Drosophila melanogaster: one gene and its partners. The protein of the gene in region 3 interacts with the protein of the main gene of each other region in a pairwise test. Each region holds a gene or a part of one and is shown on either strand. Other genes may lie near its edges.

Region 1 (5,169 bases), on a different chromosome or scaffold from region 3:
TTTTCTCTACTGACAAAAAGTTTTTCCTCACTTGCGTCGACAAGTTTTGTAAATTTGCCATTGTACAACCTACCTCCTCAAGGTTTATTGAAGACCTGAAGCCAGCGCTGCTTCAGCTGATGAACTTTTTCCCAAGGTCAAAGATCAGTTATTGCGACAACGACCCGTCGTTGAAGTCGCACACGATCGTGTCCATGCTTTGTAACAACTTTGATGTAAGCATTACAAACGCACCACTACTAAACAGTACCTCCAACGGACAGGTGGAGCGTTTCCACGTTGCTGGAGCTAACCAGGTGCATAAGGATAGACAAGGGCATAAGTGATACGGTCGAAATAGTAATGTTGGTAACTACCCAATATAATAAGTCGATTCACTCGGTCATCAAAAGGAGACCGGCTGAAATCGTCGTAACGCAACCTGATGAGCCACAGGTAGATTTCCACAATAGGATCCAGAAAGCTTAAACCTAAGGGTCAGAGAAAATGTCTCGCCGCAGAATAGGGTATTCGATGTTAGCGAAGAGATGTAGGTAAAATCCAACCGAAGACTTGGCAACAAGCTCATATGCGAGGAAAGAGCTGTAGAAGCGGACATGGGGACCACAATCCTTATTGAGGAGAGGGTGGTCAAGGACAATTTAAAATAAAGCGCTCAGTAGCAAAGTCCGTGTACCGCTTAATTTTAAATTTTTTAGCAATTTGTAGTAGATCCACGCATATCATATTCTTAAGCATTTTTCTTGTTATTGGGGTTGGGTTCCCCCTTGTCAGCAAAACAGAAAAATTAACCATTTAAACTTTCACCCACTGAACCAATTTTATCCTTCTCGTATATCTATCATTGGCATCGGCACTCATCACCTTTCGCGCGCCAAATACATTCCCATAGTCGACGGCCAGATCCTGGTTTGGAAAAATTCTGCCTATGTGAGGCACTCCGCGAATCTTTCGTAGGGGTCGACGGCACCCGTCATGCCGTCATTAACGGAACCCTGTACGTCAACCAGAACGGGGTCCAAAACAGAGTACCGGGGGTAGCAAAATTCCCTCTGCTGAATGTCACCTCCCAACAAAGCGTGCTCAGTCTACCATACCTTCATAGCCTAAATGAACGTAACTTAATCGCCTGAATGAACATAACTTAAAGACAATACGAAGGTTCAGAGAAGAGGTCAACGCAGAACGCCCCCAGCGAGTGGCACTAATCGTGGCAGCATCATGTTGCCTTCTGTTGTGTGTTGCCATTGTGGGTTGGCGTGCCCAGAAGGCCAGGAAATCCACGAGACGATTTTACGTGGCGTTCGCTGAGTTAAGGGCGGCCGAGGACGGCCTCCATCTTGATGCTTTTAATTTGAATTCTTGTATTCGTTTATTCAGTTATTTTCTAACCTTGTAAGCACTTGCTCTGCTCAATAAAGAGACATTTAAAAGTTACGCCGTCGAATGTTTATTGTGAACGTTCATTTATATAGTGACGTATTTGCGCCACCCAAACCGGCCAATTTCATTAATTCCCTGAACAATAAAGCTGTTAATTGGTTCCCGTACTGTATGCCATCTGCTCAGTATGCGTTTTGATAAACAAATTCATTGGCAACGGAACTTTGCCATTCATGTAAACAAATCCGAAAGCCTAACATTAGAAGTTAGTTCGATTTGTAAAACGGGTACTTTTGTCAAATCTTATCAGATCTTATTTACTAAAGGAAAAAATTGTTTACTCAGTGGTATATTGATGTTTATTGCAAATCACCATAAGATTATTCTGTCACTTAGTTATTTTATACAAAATTTATTGATTTGACAAACAAAAATTTGCCGACATCGGAATTAAAACTGTGAAAAAGGTGGCCTCTCTAATGTCAGGAAAACAGCTGTCCGATAGCAAAACAAAAACCAGAGCACCTTAAAACGCAATTAAACGATTTTGCCCGAATCAAAATCGAAAAAAAATACGATTATGTCTAATAGAACAGTCTATATAGTAAGGTCCATAGAATCGCACATTACACATTCATTATCTTTGAAATCGAAAAATTTAAAAAGTAGCCATGCTTAGGGAAATGGCATCTGTGGGAACAGTGCACATACATTATACACATACACTGTTCGTAAAATACCTATATTTTTATATTTTGCCATCTAAGCAAATTACAACATGCTTCTGATTTTAACGTGTTATTTTAAATGACGATTTCAATCGCTTCAAAACCGGGTCTCTTATAGGTCTGATACGTTGTTGATGCTAATCTGTGAGAAACTCATATAAATTCCATTACTTACGTAAATATTATTCCAAAACAACGTAATATAGTAGTAGACTTGGTTCCGCTGCCTTAGCCTATTCAATAAATAATATAATAATTTCTTAAATTATCCAATGTAAATAGTGGAATCTGACAGTACTTAAATGGCGGACGACTTGCATAATTATAAGCTACAATTGCAACAAGTGTGTATAATTAATTAAATAAAGTATATATTTTGGTGTGGTCTTGGTCAAGATTGTATATGTTTCGCTTATATTCTTTAAGTAAAGACATTTTGTTCAGTCCTTTAAAATAATAGTAGTCAGTAGTCGATGAAGCGCAACTGGAGGATGGCGAGTACTATATGTACATATGTACATATAAACGAAGAAATACAAACCAATTTCCTGTGGATGTCCGGTCCCAATCATTTATATACAAACATCGTTGCCATGTTAGGAGTTTGAAAAAGAATCCAGCTTCGTACTGGAAAACAACTCGCAACTTCGGTGTGAAGAACGGTGACGACTATATACAGAGATATTCTATACAGCTTTCATAACATAGCTTGGATAAATACTATCACTTAAAAATGTTGTGTAAACTATTCCTTGATTTCGTTTGGCTCGTTTATGGCCATGGCCTAGTAATGTTATTATTGTATTCCCCTACTGAATCAAACCAAACATTGGAAATTTATTTGTGCTTTTAAAAAACGTGTATATAAGCCAACCCCTTAAAACAAGCGCTTATGGTAAGCCTGTACATAAAGATTCAGCTTCTGGTTAGAAAGTTTACTTCCTAATGCGTGGCATTTCAAAGATCAGTTTATTGTGAAATGTTCATATATAAATAAACTTTTTTGAATTATTCAATCTACAATGTAATATATTGAAATTGTTGCACATGAATTAAGCAATTATAAATTTAATTTTTAGGTGGAGGCAGCTCTTCAAACTGATCCAGAAAATGAAGAGCTATTAAAACTCAGAAGTGATCTTGACGAAGTTATTACCCTTACTCGTGATTTGATACAAACTCAACTGGAAGAACAAAATAAATCTTCATATGTGGAGCCATCATCAACCAAAAGAGATTCGTCCAACTACTTCGACGAAATAGAAGCAGCTCTATTAGAAGCAGAAAAATTAGTTTCAGCTGCTAAGATTTGGAAAAAAGGAGACAAGTGTCAAGCTAAATGGAAGGAGGATCGTCAGTACTACGATGCAACTATTGAAGATATATCAAGTACAGGAGAAGTTAATGTAATATTCGATGCCTATCAAAATCGATCTACGACCCACGTCAATGAGTTGCGTGAACGTACTATTCGCAACGAAGTTTTTCCGTCAAACAAGTATAAATATTTTAACAGTAAGAGTAATAAATTTCTAAAACGGTTTTTACAGGCGGCACAGGCCCAATCAAAAAGAATATTTAAAAAAACGTAAGCAAAAAAAGCAACAGCGCTTCAAGGACTTGGAAGAGGAACGTGAATCAGACAAGAACAAATGGCTTAATTTTAACAACAAAAACCAAAAAAAAAACGGAATGAAAGCAAGAAGTATATTTGCGTCTCCGGATAATGTAAGCGGCAGAGTAGGAGTCGGCACTTGTGGAACTGCAGGAAAGGGCATGACAGATTTTACTGTGGGTGAAAAATATAGAAAAGGTCTTTAGAATATTATCTATTAAACGGTATAATAAAAAAGGTTCATAAAAATATAAGAAAACAATAATAATAATAATCTTTATAGTGAAATTTATAAATTTACCGGGCATTACCGCTTCGGTAATCGAATTCGTACAAATTTTTCGATTTGATTTTGATATCGCAAAATCGATGGTCCGGTTCTCGTGTGCCGCGTATCATACTGCTCGATTCGCGAGAGGATAGACGCTTCTATATCGTACAGAAATCTAGGAAAAAATATAATATAAAAGAAATATAATAGATATAAATATAAATATAATTAAAATCTAATTATGTGTTAAAAAAGTAAGAGTTGATTGCTTTCGGGTCACGAAGGCGCCAGCAATTCCTGATATATACTTTGTAAACATGCAAACTTTGGAGACAGTTATATAATTTTCTTCGTTATCTAAGTTTTTCTGTCACGATCTCTCTAGTACTCTCGCATCTACACCGTTGGCTTAGTGTTCTGCTGTTCGCTCAGCAATTAAGTCACTCATTATTATGCGCTTTTGCTATCTACGCATATATTCATCGAAGCACAATCTTGCTCGCTAAATCCAATAAAATCTTATAGTTTGAAATCACTACATACAATTCGTGTTTTCATTGCTCAAAATAGCTAATAAAAAGACTATGATTTAGTATTATGATTATGTAGTTTCTAGTGAATTTGCTTGAAACAGGGAAAATGTAGCCGGGACTATCAACTTCACCACGAGTAAGCTTTTTTTTTATCAATTTTTATTTTTTCGGTAGAAGGAGACAATTTTTCCAATATTTTCTGGTTAAGCTTGTTAACTTGGATTGAGCTTCTAACCATAAGAGGCTCACTGCCAGTTGAGAAAGTACCTCCACATGACCAGGTAATTGATCAGCAACCAGCTGCGGTCGAGGCTACTGAAAAATTAACAAAAGCTGTCGTAGGCACAATGGTGACTCCGTTAACGTATTAAAAGGCATCTTCTGAAGCGCCTTTTAAGTTATCTTTCCATAACTTTGCACGCATCTCAATGGGAATAAAATCTGTGCTCTTGTGCATTGATTTTTTTGGCGGTATTTTGCTGGCACCGTTATAATTGGTGACCACTGGTTAAAGAGTGCTATTAATAGCGCAGAGCAGAGATAAATCGTGCAAGCGCGAATAAGCTTAAAAACATAGACTGTTTCAAGCACATGATAAAAAGGCTTGCATACAAATTTAGGCGCCGCTAGGCAAGCAGT
Region 2 (4,778 bases), about 15 Mb from region 3:
ACGTTCGCAGCATGCTGGAGAATTTTGAAGGTAAGTGCGGCTCAGTTGCTCCGAGCAATAGATTGTAATACCGTGTTCTCCTCCAGAAATACTCAAGCTGGCGCGCCGTGAGAGCCACAGCCAGATTTCGAAGACCACGCAGTGCGAACAGGATGCCCTGGAAATGCAGGTCCGCGCGGCCAACATGGGTGAGTAAATCCACTCCCTGGGAACCAGATTCGAGCCATTTCCTTCATGCATTCCGCTTTATAGTCCGTGCCGGCGAGTCTCTGATGAAGCTGGTGGCCGACCTAAAACAGTACCTAATCCTCAACGACTTTCACTCGGTCAACGAGGCCATCACAAACAATTCGCAGCTGTTCAGGAACACACAGAGCGAGTGCGACAAGAAGCTGATGAAACTTAGGGACGAAATGGCCATGGACTTGTACGACCTGGAGGAGGAGTACTACACCAGCATTTTTAAGTAGCGCTAGGAGGGGAAGGGGTTCACCTTATTTGTGATGAACTGGCTTTGGCCGAACTGTAGAATTTAATAAGAAATCATTACCACATTCACTTGTAAATTTTGTTTAGCAAACAGCTAGTCGCGTCGCACTCACAAGACCTGCTCCTGTTCCGCCTCCGAGGACAAGGAGCGACTGTCCGGAGAGGCCGCGCTCAGGCTGTCAACTAGGTCGCCCGTGTAAAAGAGCACCGCCTTCGGGACGATTTGGGTGCGTAGCAGGAAGCCCACTTCGAAATCGTTGCCAAGGATCAGCTTGGTCTTTTCATCCGCGAGCGACAGGTCCAAGGCCTGCGGCGGAGCAAAGAAGCGAAAGAAGGACTCCCGAGGCATGACCTTGGTGACTCGGTGTGCTCTGTTCCTTCGCCTGCTTTCCACCGTTTGGAGAGTGAGATTGGAGCCATCGCGCCAGTGGATGTGGCAGCCTTCGCAACGAACTATTTCGGGCCCTTCGAACAGAAAGGGATACTCCGGGTCCGCCGAGTGCTGCAGAAAGTAGCGCTTCGTGAGCAGCAGCGAGGAATCGTGCAGGAAGCTATTGGGCCGAAACTGAAAGATGACCATGTAGCTGTCCTGGTCGTAAGCCAGGCGCACATCCATTAGGCTCTCCAGAAGCGGCTCGTCGTGATCCTGGACCAACTCCGAGAGCAGGGGCACGTTCTGGAAAACTGTCAGCCAAAAGCGTGGAACACCCAGCGTAGTCGGCGAAACCGGAGCCAGTTTTTGCCTCAGCTGTCGCAGCTCCTCGTTGTTCCCGAAGTCCAGGTACAGAGCATCCTGCGGGTCCTCGGGCCAGGTCTTCTCCGTTTGGATCGGTGGCTCCACCGAACCCTCCAAAATATCCCGCCTCGCATCGAAGAGCGCGCAGCTCTGGCCGTAGAAACGTCGCTCCAGCTCGTAGACTTCCCGGAAGAACTGCTCCGAAATGCGTACCTGTTGCAGCTGATTGTGCCGCAGTGCCCGTATGCGGTTCTGCACGGGCTCCGCCAGCTGGCCGATCATGTGCCGCAGAAAGGCCTTCCGGCTGCGGGCGGGAAGGTCCGCCGGACTCAAAGCCGGCTCTGTGGACTCCTGGGTATATGTGCCCAGGGAGCGCAAGGACCCGCTGATGCCGTCTGCCCTCGACTCCGTGTGGCTGTCTTCCTGGGTAACCCCCTCCGCGCTGTCAGCCATCCCAATCATTGTGCAATTCGGTGCAATAACTTCGAAATTTGGCAACATATATGTATATAAATCTACAAGTATATTCCAGCTCTGCGACTGGGCACTTGGAAACTACTATGCTAGATCAAAGCTGTTCCTTGATTTCCACAGAAACCGGCCTACTACTGGGAACGAAAATTCGGCTGATGATTCCTTGGATTTGCCCAGAAGCAATCGCATTTTTGATTACAATAACTGCGTAATCTAACAAATAATTTCGCCTACGAGGAATACCACTTCAGAGTTACGTGCATAATTAATGAAGGCGAATTCCAGAAACAGTGCATGATTTGCCGAATTCCGGGCAAATCGGTGGCCAATATCTGTCGGCGGTTGCGTTATCGGAGCTACCTGCTCATGAGCCCAGATATGGGCTGTGGACTGGACACTGAAGGGAGGGTCATGCCCGGCACTTATCGGCCCACCATAAGCTGACATTGCGGCAGGTCGGAACCGGACGGCAGCATAATGCTCCATTCAGATCCCGAGCATGGTTTATTTTGTTGGATTGAAGCTATCTGCCCCGCCGCTCGCCTCTTATCTGCGACACCTGGGCACTTGGGCCCAGTCTTGGTGCCTGGTCTTGGGTTTTATTGGCCCGACGGAGCGATAAGTGGGGCCCGTTGTCTTTTGGGTGCCATAAACCGATGGCCCGAATCGCCATTATTTATTGGGAGAAAAACCGAAGTAGCTGTCCAATCTAATCCGTTCGTCTGTCGCATGCTAATTTATGGGCGACTAATCCTCACGGGGGGTCCAATTCCTCCACCAGCGATTCGGTAATCTTCCTCATCGACCCGAGTCCACCAGATTGCAGCTGCACCGGATGGCCTCCAGTGGATATTGCTGTTGGATTGTTGGTTAACTGAATTAGTTTGGACTTACCGATGACATCAGCGCGGCCAATGACTTCAGAATCTCGAATGTCATTCAAACAAAATCTCTTTATTTTGATAGGATGGGTCTCCCCCATACTTTTACATGCTATCTTAAACTGAAAACAAAAACAATTCGTCGGCGTCCTAGAAGATGAAGTCTTCGTCCTGGCCCTCCTCTTCCAGCAACGAGAGGCTTCTCTCGAAGCGCTTGATGTCCTGGTACCAGCCGGGGTCCCCGGACGATATATCCTCCGGCCTGCCGCCCTTGTGGCGGTACAGGAACTCGGCGTGGCCCTGGCCGGGAACTCCGTTGACCGTGCAGGCCACAAACTGGTTGAACACCTTAGACTCCCAGTCGCCGCCGACGTAGCGCAGCGCGGAGGCCTCCACCTGGATTTGCACGAGGTACTCCCGCTCCTCGGTGCGCACAATGAAATTCTGGTGCTGCGGCGGCGTTCCCTTTTCGCCGTACGAGTACAGCTCGAAGTTGCTCCCGGTCAGCGGCTGATACTGCCGCTCGGGGCTGCACACGTAGCCCACCTTCAGGGAGGACAGGAAGAAGGACGGCTGACTGAGGCTGCCCACCACCATGCTGCTGCCATCGTCCATAAAGAGGGCAAAGTACACGTACCGGTTGATGGAGCTTAGGCAGCGCTCGGTGCCGAAGCTGTGGTCCCGGAAGCCCACCATTTTCAGCGCCAGCTCCTTGCCATCGAGCGTGACCTGGCCGGCCAGTTCTCCGTTCTGTTCGTAGTGGGTGCGCTTCTCTACGATGTGGTTGACGCTGCGCAGCAGGCTGTAGAACTTTTCGTTCCAGGCCTCTCTGGCTATGGAGTCGGCTATCAGGGCGCTGCTCAGATCTCTGTTGTAGTCGAAGTGCTCAGCGGAGGAGCTTTCGAAACGGAGGTCCAAGTCCACGGCTACGTCCTGCACGTCCGGCCCTTGAGTTTTCAGCAGTCCGGAGTACTTGAGCCGCCACACACGCATAGATGCCTCCTGGTAGACGTGGAAGCCTCCACCCTGGAACGCGTTGCTCTCCGCTCCATCCGCGGTGGTGAAGTATACCATATCGGGCAGATTCGGCGAACTGAACAGGCCGCTTTCGGGAAGCCACAGGTACAGTGCCGCCTTGAGGACTCCGCGCCTCCTTCGCTCCAAGGTGACCATTAGTTTCTGGCCCTCCTTGTTGGCCGCCATGAAGCTGACCACGTCATAGCTCTTCGGGTCGTTGCTGAGCTGCTGCGGCCTGTCGACCTTGGCCAGGTGCTCCTCGGAGCCGAGCAGCTCCTCGTTCCGACGGTAGATGCGGTACCTCAGGCGGCGAAGGACAAGCAGGGCGATCCAGAACTTCACCCGGTAAAAGATGCCTTTCAGTGGGTACTTGCCGAAGATTAGTGGCGGCTTCAGGCCCAGTAGCTTAAGTGCCACGACCACCAAGGCCGTTAGAATGCCGAAGATCAGCCCGAGCGCTGCGATCATGTTGTGTCCCAAGATGCTCAAAATCTGTTCAAAATTAAATCCTCTTTGGAGTTCCGCGGAATGTCGATCCTCGTCAAAAATGCTCCGTTACCGAACGGCTTGGCCAATTGGACGCGACTGCGAGGCCTGCACTGGACAATGTGTGGGGAAGTGGGTCTTGTGTCCCGCTTATCGCCACTCGATAAGCCGCCACCGTCTAAACCCACTTTTCGGCCCCACCTCCTCGGACTGGGCTTATCGGGTCGGAATCGACGGGCTTTGCGGCGATGCATGACTAGCTCGCTAAATCTGGATCTGTCTGCGCTCGCGATTTCTGATTGATACATTAGCTGGACTCGTCATCGTCATCGTCGCCAGGAGCGGCCGATAGCCAGCTCCAGATAGCCGTGGTGCAGGCTATCTTCTGGTGCAAAGTCTGCTTGCGTAGAAGTTCCACAACGATTGGCCAAGATAAAAAATTGCATAGACCGAGTGCTTCAGCAAATGTGTTCGTGGGTACTTGGATGTGACCCGACTGGATGTAGTGGGGCTCTGGAGCTGACAATCTCGCCAAAAGAGAGATTTTCCAAGTCGATGGATGTGAAAACTAGCTGGAGTGCTGAAACCTAGCCGTTAGAATTCGATTCAAGTGCTTCAAGTGCCAGACTCCCATTGCCAACACTAGAAAATGTCCTTAAGGGACGCGAAGAGCACTTGCCAACACTCGGAAATCG
Region 3 (4,425 bases):
TTAGTGCAGATGGCGGATCGGTAGAATTTTGAACATGGGGAAGTTTTTTATTTATTTTATTTTGTTGGGTTGTGGGCATTAGAGTGGGCGTGGCAATATGGGCATGCGCTGCGTCTATGTCTCTAGAATCTGTATGGTTAATCTCAACCTTCTAGCTTTTATAGTTCCTCAGATTTCGGCGTTCATACGGACATGATCAGATCGACTCGGCTATTGTTCCTGATCAAGAATATATATACTTTATATGGTCGGAAACGCTTTCTTCTGCCAGTTACATACTTTTTAACAAATCTACTATACCCTTTCACGAGTAACGGGTATAAAACTGAATATATTTGATAATATTATACTGAAGCTACCAATTTCCGATGCTGTAAATTGCATAATTTATTATGAAATAAAAACACTAATACTTATTATGTCAGCGGAACATAATAAGAATATTTGAGTCTAGAGGTTTTATCTCCAAGGGCATGACAACGCCATGGCAACCCTTTTTGCTTGTGTCAAGAACTCAAAAAAGAAGGCGATGACTTTGCAGTCTACAAGTCACATTTATAATTTGGCGTGAGGACCTCAGTTGATTCACATATCCGAGCGGATAATACTTAACTATTTGCAAAGCACAGCATTTTTAAGATGACCATTTCAAGAAAATGCTTTACGCATACAAGTTGATAGGTTTTCTAAACGAAACAATGAAGTCCTACGATTCTTCATAGAGCTCACCGATTTCATTATTCCGTTCACCGCTCCCGATAGATTCTTCGTTATTTGTAGAGATTTCCAGCGCAAGTCGCCAACAGCTGGCCCATTGACCAAGGCACCCATGCCGGAAGCTTTTTCCGGCAAAAAACCAAAAACAATGAGGAAGCAGCCATGCTGAAGGACCCCATGGCTTGCGGGGATTCAGAGCCGAAGCTTAGCAATGGTAAATCAGTCTGGATCTCCTCTGAAGATAGTAGCGATCCGGATAATGACAAGGTGCCATTGGTGCCATATGAGTCTGATGTGGATCGTCTGCGGCAAAGACTCGCTAGAATGTTTCGGCGATGATTTCGATGGCAATCGTGCTATATATTCATTTGTTTCTACATTTGTACCAATTTTCTAAATAAATCGCAAACTATATACATACGTGCATACTGCACTTCTAATATATTTTCTCTAAATTTTTTCGGGACTATTTTTAAAACATGTTTATTCGTTGTACCTTAAATTTTCATCAAATGGTTGTCTTACAAGAACGTGATATCTTACGCTGCGTTATTAGTCGACAAGAAGGAAGTTGCGCATAATTAATGATCTGCCTGTTCATCGTCCTCCTCCGAGGAAGTTTCTTTCTCGATCGCGTCAGACATGCGCTCTTGCAACTTCTGCTGTAGGTTGGAGTCCTTGACCAGGTGCGCTGGATGGATGTAGGACCTGTTGGGACAGCCGAGCACTGGGCATCGAATACCAATGTTGTCCGTGATGATCAGCATCACCGAGTCGCGGTCGTAGATGTGGCCGCACTTTTTGTTGCGCACGGGGTTCTTTATCAAGGCTTTGGACCAGGGATCGTAGAGCGAGAAGACCTCGCCGCCGGTGGCTTCCATGATAAGGTCCTCGTCATGGGCGGCGCTATTCGCTTGACCATTTGTTTCCGCACCCGCCTGGGGAGCTGCCGCTTTCATGAAGTTTTTGAACTCGGCTGAGTTCTTGACATCGATGCGCTTCTGCTCCACCGCTTCGGAGCGCTCCTTCCAGACTTCCTCGAACTTCTCGATGGTGTTGCTAGAGTTTTTGGCATGCTTCATAGCCTTGCTGAGCAATTGGTGCTTGCTCTTCATTCGGATGAGATTCTCGGCGAGATCCACGTTCTGGTCCAACAACTTCTGGATCTCCCTGCCATCACTGAAATCGGACACGACTGTGGGTAGGTTTTAAAGATGTCTCAGTGTGTCGCATGGCTTACCTTCTGCCATTTCTTTGAAGAACTTTTGGTTTTCCAATAAAGTGGTAAGTGCCGAATCCACATGGTAATTGAAGTCCATTTTAAAGCCCAGATTCTATGCAGACGCTTTGCAAATTGCAAATCCAGAATATTTGGATCCAAATGTTCAAGACTGACGCTTAGCTAGGTTCAGCTAGGACCGATAAGTTCGATAGGCAGCCTAACGAGGGTGTAATCGGTATTTGGCGAACTGTTAATAATCGTGGTGTATAAGCATGGATTTTATGCCTGAAATTTAAGTAAAATAAATGTGCGTCAAATTAGCGACTCTAAAATAAAATGTAAAATGAGTTAACTTAGAGTGACCATATCCCCAACATACGGTCTTATCCACCCGCGAGCTATCGCGGTTATCGGTGTTATCGGCCAATGTCAACCTGGATAACGAGCGGCGGCCAACTTTTCAGTGTGCCAAACGCCGAGCAGACGGACGAGCAGCGCCAGCGCGACCGCCACTGCCACCAGTTGCTGCGGACCAATCCAAGTCACAACCAATCCGCTCCGATCCGATCCCAGCCAACGAGTGCCAGCTGTGCGCCCCAGCTGCAGCTACACGTGTCCCCAGGGTGAAAGCGCTATCCAAGATGCGGACGCACGGACTACGGTTGGTGCTCTTGGCCCTGCTGCCCACGATGGCCCTGGGCCTGCTAGAGGGCCTGTACTGTGGCAAGGAAAACTGTTACGACGTGCTGGGCGTCACCAGAGAGTCGTCCAAGTCGGAGATCGGCAAAGCATACCGCCAGCTGGCGAGGCGCTATCATCCAGATCTGCATCGGGGTGCCGAGGCCAAGGCGGCGGCGGAGACGCAGTTTAAGCTGGTGGCCACCGCCTACGAGATCCTGCGCGATGAGGAGTCGCGCACGGACTACGATTACATGCTGGACAACCCGGATGCATACTATGCGCATTACTATCGCTACTACCGGCGACGCGTGGCGCCCAAGGTGGATGTGCGCGTGGTTATCGTGGTCGTCCTAACCATTGTGTCCGTCATCCAGTACTATTCCGGCTGGCAGCGCTACGATTCTGCCATCAAGTACTTTGCCACGGTGCCCAAGTATAGGAACCAGGCCCTGGAAATAGCTCGCGACGAGATCCAGGAAAAGATCCAGAAGAAGGGCAAGAATCGTATGTCCAAGAACGATCAGCGCGATGAGCTGGAACGGATCATCCGGCGGGTGATCGAGGAGAAGATGGACGTTAAGGGCGGCTATGCGAAGCCGACACTCTGGGATGTGCTGTGGGTGCAGCTGATCATCTGCCCCTACACGATACTCTCGTTCATCGTGTGGCACGCTCAGTGGTTCTGGCGCTACACGGTAATGAAGCAGCCGTATGGCCGCGAGCAGAAGCTCTACCTCATCCGCCGGCACCTGGGCATGGGCCAGCATCAGTTCGAGGCGCAGGAGGACAAGCTGATCGAGGAGTACCTGCATCTGAAGCTGTGGAAGCGCGAGAACTTCGTCGCCTGGAAGGCAGAACAGGAAGAGGAGATGAAAAAGAAGCTGGCGGAGAATCCACGATACAAGGCGTACAGGCGATACATGAAGAACCACGGACCCGGCCGCATCACCTTTGAGGATTAGCCGCTGCTCTGCGATGTTCAAGTTTCATTGTTCCATCTAAAAGTCTGTTGTGTGCGTGTTGTAAAACCGATCCCAAATTCCTCGCCCTCGGCATCCCCATACCGTCTAAATTTTGATACATTTATATATATATATTTAGAAATTTTTTGTACACCAACTATATCAATATGAATTATGTTAATGTCCCGGTGTTGTCCGCCAAAGGGCGAAACGTTGACCCCGCCGGAGCGATCCGCCAAAACCGGTTCAAGAACGTGGCCACGTTCGGTACGCGTCGGCACAGTGTCCACTGGCTGCCGTGAACGAACCATCCTAGAACAATTATACCCCTACCTGGCTGGTCACAAAAAAAGCACGCCACATTCGCGTGTTTCCTAACTAACTTGACTAAACCGATTACTGTAATAAACTAGATAAAATTCAAACGTCTCTCTTACTGGTTGTTCACTGTGCCTGGTTTGCACAGTTGTTCTGGATGGCCAAAAATTCGATCTCGTGGCATTTATTCGCTCTAAACAGCATCTCTCCGTGCTTTTGTTTACACAGTTTGCTTAGAAACAATTTCGTTTTTTATTGTTTCTTGGTTTGGTGCGGTTGCTGAAAGTTAAACTTAAGTACGTGCTTGAAAATAAGCTGAAGAGTAAAGAAGTCTAGATTTTTCAATGGTAGCCTTCAAATAAAGTTGATTTGTTTTGCGAAATGCTGACTTTAGTTTCGGATACATGCGTGTGGCTCTTGCATTTCGCTATTCGCAGTTCACGTATACCAATTTTTATTTAAACATGTCTTCAAAGTCCTCAATTTGTTTAAAGTAATATAACAGCATAAGGTAGTGAAATAATA
Region 4 (4,838 bases), on a different chromosome or scaffold from region 3:
TCGTTCACGCTTGCAATCGTAGACAACTTCTCGCCCATAAACTCATCTAAAATCGATCGACACAAGCCGACGGTGGAAGAGGCCATCAACTCTCTGTCCGCGGGAATGGTAAATATCAGAGGAGACCGACTCTAGACACGATCCCCAGCACACATAGATACGTCCCGTACCGCTGCACCCACGACACCTCCACACCTAGACAGCTCCACCCCCATCACACACAGAGTTAGACTCGCACACGTCCATGTAGAATCGTACACTACTAGAGTTTTCCAAATTGCAGTGCATCTTTCGTTTGGGTGTTCTTCCCTAGCCATTCCCCCACAGCATCCCACTGATACATGACTTCTCTATTGCATTCTTATAGATCAACTAACATAGCATGTGGTGACGGAACACAAGACACACCAACCCAGATATATCACGATGTGGACTGAGAAAGAGTCCGAGCGAAATATGCCTCATACTCTTACATACTGATTATGCTTGCGTGTTCAGGCGCTCTTGTATAGCTAGGATATAATCAAAAGGCGCCCCACGTAGAACAGATTCCCCCATGTCATGCCCACGACCACGACCACAGCCACACCCACACCTGCCCATCCCTTCCAGCGGACACTGGGTGAAAAATAACCAACAAGAGACATAACTCAATCAAGCAAAAGATATTATATACAAGCCCAAAGCATACTCCTTATACACAGAACTACAGAAGCATATAGCATATAACTGGCAAATCAAATACGAGTAAGGTGCTCAGGATGGCATCCCGTTGGTGATCAGAGATCCGTGATCAGTGATTCGTAGTCCCGGTCCCCTATACGTTTAGTGTACGGTGTAAAGAGTTCGTTATGCGTTCGATCAGATAATATGAAAATATACAATACACTGAAATTATATAAATAAACGTTTTTGCGATACTTTCGATCTCCGATATATCCACATAAGTACGTATTATGTATACCTATGTATAATCAGCAATCGCGATATTACAATATTATTGTAAAATATTTCAATTTACAAGCCAGACAAACCAAAAGCAAAATTATATACATATTATTCATCTGTATTTATTAACGATAATTGTAACGCGCTTAGGTTTACTCAACACAATAAACAGAACAGAACCGGACCGGACCGGACTTAAAAAGGATATTACAATAGGTGCACCAACAGACGGACTCGGACTGCAGACAACATTTGACTCAAAACATGATGAAAGAATTGATTATTTATTAATTAGTTGAATGTTATTTAACTTATATGCATTATTCTAAAGATTACTGAAATCCAAATGTAATTACAATAAATTAAATTGCAAGGTTGAAATTCCGGCATGTTCCCTCGAATGCGATTTTGCTAGACTAAAAAAAAAACGTACGTTTGAAACGGACGACTAGTACAGTTTCTGCAGATCGTTGAGCGGCTGATTCAGGAAGTCGTTGGTCCAGTTTTTGTCCGGATTATCTAGATGGTTGTCAAAGTCAACCAAATCCCGCATGGCTCCGCGCTTCAGCAGCAGCGACACGCCTTCCAATGTATCGGACGCCTGTGAGAGCGTAAACTTGGCCTTTGACCACCTTGCTCCAGAGTCTCCGGGACAGTTGAATACCTGGATGGCGGCTCGGTCGTGCTGCAGCGTCATCAGTTTGTTGTCCACCACCACAAAGCAGGCGTTCTTGAAGTTCTCCTGGATCTTGTCAGCTATCTTGGCGGCTGGGGTCTTGTCGACCTGGTTGTCGTAGAAGTTCTCCGGTGCTGCGTAGTAGCCTGCGATTACTAATCCTTCCCGTTCGGCGTGGGCATCGATCTGAAAGTGTAAGGTAATGTATTATTATCGTTATTTTATAAAATGTTTTAATTTAAACAATGGTACAACCTTATCGGCTTTTAAATTTAATTCAGTCTTCACAACTTCAATGCTTTAAGACTGCTAGTTTAATTTGGGTAATAAACTTCTAACAGGGTAAAAGTGGTGTGACACTAGTTTTTGAATTTGATATGCTAATATTAAAATACCATCGTGGGGTACAAGGTACATTTTACTAAATAAAGATCGCTTGGAACATAAACCTTTCTGTTCTAAGCACAACACTGGATAACTATGCAGCCGCAATAAGTTAGAATAGTTATATATCTTTTGGATAGCGGAGTGTTTGGCCAGGGTGCGAGGATCTAGATACAAATTGAAGCCATAATAGTTCCATTATGGGGCGCACCACATTGCTGTCCGGACACAAATGCACCGAGCCCCTCGTGATGTGAGTTTAGGAAGGGCAATTGGTAATTACCAGCATGAGGGCCACCTCCGCCATGGGGGTGACATACAGGCACTGGTGGAAAAGCGGAATCGCATCCACGATTTCCACTTGGGAGCCCTTCGATGTCTTCTCGGCCAGCAAGAGTCCGTTGACCGCCTGGTGTGGATACTTGGCCGCGTGGAATATCAACTTGGCGTACGCCCGCTCCGAGACCTTGTAGTCGCACATTTTCTCAGAATATTATCTCAATTTATTCGGCAAAAAATAAAACATGAATTGGAAATTCGACAGCTAGAAAGTGTGACCGCGACGCAGCTGTTCAAATATACCGCAAACGTCAAATATACAATGAAAAATACTAAAATGGATGAGCATGGAATGGATTCCACAAAAAATGTGATCAAAACTATATTTGTTAATTATGTCTTTAACATTGAAAATATATTTATAACTTAAGTTCTAGAAAATGGTTTCTAACATAGGTTGCAGTAGTCTGGTCACATCGATATGGGCGCGCAAACAATATGTGGATTCCACTTCAAATTAATTTATTACTCAAACTAATATTTAATTCTAACGTGAATGATGGAAAACATAACTGAATATGTGTAACATTTTATTTCTTAACTGTCCGTCTGCGTCTCGCTCTTGCTTGGTTTTTTTCTCCGGTTTTTTATATATGTATATTGTAACTAAAAATATTTAGCAGTTCAGCTGAATGTCCGGTGGCAGACCAACCCGGCCTTCCAATTGGATCCTTGAACACCATCAAACCACACCGATGGGGGAACTACGTCTGGCTTTCATTCAGTATTGCCTTGATGTCGTCGGCGTCAAGAGTCTCGTACTTGAGAAGCGCCTCCGCAAGCGCTTTGTGCTCCCTGGTGTGTTTTCGCAGGATAGCCTTCGCCCGCTCGTAGCTGTCGCTGAGGATGCGCTTGATCTCCGCGTCCACGGCTTCAATGGTGTTGGGACCAAGGGTGTCACCGGTGCCCAGACCCTTTGACGCCTCGATGGTGCGAAGACCGACCTTGTCCGACATGCCCCAGTCCCTGACCATATGCGTCGCGATCGAGGTTGCCTGCTTGAGATCACTGCTGGCTCCCGACGTAATCTTGTCCGTGCCGAAGACCAGTTCCTCAGCAGCACGACCGCCCATCATGGTGTCCATCATGGCCAGCAGCTGTGCCTTTGTGACATGGTAACGCTCCTTCTCCGGTATGTAGGCGGTGTGTCCAAGGGAGGGTCCGCGGGGCATGATGGTCACCTTGTGCAGCGGATGCGACTCCTTGGTGTAGAAGGCCACAATCGCGTGGCCGCCCTCGTGGTAAGCGGTTATGGTGTTGGCCTCCTCGTCCGGTAGACGAGCCTTGCGCTCGGGTCCCATAAGTACTTTGTCTCGTGCCGTTTCCAAATGCTTCATGCTGACCGTTTCGGCTCCATCGATGGCAGCTCTGCCAAAATGTTAGAATTATTAGTACCGCTCTTCAAAATTGTGATTGAATAATACAACACAAGTTATTCCTTACCTTAACGCCGCTTGGTTAATCATGTTTTCCAGATCCGCTCCAGTAAAACCAGAGGTGCCGCGCGCCAGCATGTCCAAGTCTATTTCATCGTGCAAAATCTTCGTCAGATACAGAGACAATATCTCCTTACGTCCAGTGAAATCGGGCGTCGACACCATGACTTCTACATCAAATCGGCCGGGACGCAGCAGAGCCTGATCCAAATCGTCGCGACGATTGGTGGCTCCCAAAACAATGACGCCAGCGTTCTGATGGAAGCCATCCATCTCGGAGAGCAGCTGATTGATGGTCTGATTGGCGTAAGGATGCAGCACAGAGTTGGTTCGCTTGGCGCCCACCGAGTCGATTTCGTCAATGAAGATAACACAAGGGGCACGGGCCTTTGCTGCCTCTGCAAGATGATGTTCTTGTTTAGTTGAGCACTTTGGATAATTGAAATCTACTTACTGAACAGATCACGCACTCGTCTGGCTCCTTGGCCTACGAGCACCTCGTCGAACTCCGGTCCGGCAGCATGGAAGAAAGGAACTTTGGCTTCACCGGCGACGGCACGGGCCAGCAGTGTTTTGCCAGTACCCGGCGGGCCAACCAGGAGCACTCCCTTTGGAAGCTTTCCGCCCAAATTTGAGAACTTTTCCGGACTCTTCAGGAATTCAACGACCTCCTTGAGCTCCTGCTTGGCTTCGTCGCAACCCTTGACATCCTCAAAAGTGACGTTGATCTCCTCAGGGTCCACTTCAACCTGGTTGCCCAGTTGTATGCTGCTGAAAGAAAGGCATATCAGATGGGTAAAGCAAAACTAATAACGTGGAGGCTCACCGAAATACGGATCCATTGGAGGTTGTAAAGAAGCTCAGGAAAATGCCCAAGAACACGACGATAACGACGATAGTCTGCAAAGTCTGCGTGACAATTACTAGAATTTATTTATAACACTAAAGAAGACCAAGGCCTTCTGTGGTTTTCAAAGTAATCATGGTACACTTTGAATGAATTTAAACTCGTACCTTCAGATATTTCATAGTTTTTCCTGATTTTGGAGAGTCCT

What was found.
Region 1: the proteins of cerv (region 3) and Spf30 interact in a two-hybrid assay, tested with the Drosophila melanogaster proteins (one large-scale study listed by BioGRID).
Region 2: the proteins of cerv (region 3) and CG3708 interact in a two-hybrid assay, tested with the Drosophila melanogaster proteins (one large-scale study listed by BioGRID).
Region 4: the proteins of cerv (region 3) and EMC8-9 interact in a two-hybrid assay, tested with the Drosophila melanogaster proteins (one large-scale study listed by BioGRID).

Annotation. Positions count from the first base shown.
Region 1 is NT_037436.4:23,712,712-23,717,880, forward strand, and holds Spf30 (splicing factor 30), read left to right. Parts: upstream 1-2,311; 5' UTR 2,312-2,413; coding exon 2,414-2,455; intron 2,456-2,579; exon of another isoform or gene 2,580-3,003; coding exon of another isoform or gene 3,004-3,006; intron 3,007-3,190; coding exon 3,191-3,609; intron 3,610-3,661; coding exon 3,662-3,932; 3' UTR 3,933-3,978; downstream 3,979-5,169.
Region 2 is NC_004354.4:928,298-933,075, forward strand, and holds CG3708 (uncharacterized protein), read right to left. Parts: upstream 1,802-4,778; 5' UTR 1,688-1,801; coding exon 599-1,687; 3' UTR 501-598; downstream 1-500. Other genes in the region: MED22 (mediator complex subunit 22), read left to right, coding at 1-30, 87-188, 253-470; CG3706 (uncharacterized protein), read right to left, coding at 2,731-4,065.
Region 3 is NC_004354.4:15,575,854-15,580,278, forward strand, and holds cerv (cervantes), read right to left. Parts: upstream 2,319-4,425; 5' UTR 2,037-2,318; coding exon 1,958-2,036; intron 1,913-1,957; coding exon 1,299-1,912; 3' UTR 1,133-1,298; downstream 1-1,132. Other genes in the region: CG7872 (uncharacterized protein), read left to right, coding at 2,581-3,582.
Region 4 is NT_033778.4:22,880,111-22,884,948, forward strand, and holds EMC8-9 (ER membrane protein complex subunit 8/9), read right to left. Parts: upstream 2,581-4,838; 5' UTR 2,490-2,580; coding exon 2,292-2,489; intron 1,811-2,291; coding exon 1,397-1,810; 3' UTR 1,212-1,396; downstream 1-1,211. Other genes in the region: YME1L (YME1 like ATPase), read right to left, coding at 3,052-3,715, 3,791-4,181, 4,238-4,554, 4,610-4,692, 4,798-4,838. UniProt on the Drosophila melanogaster protein: Part of the endoplasmic reticulum membrane protein complex (EMC) that enables the energy-independent insertion into endoplasmic reticulum membranes of newly synthesized multi-pass membrane proteins like rhodopsins.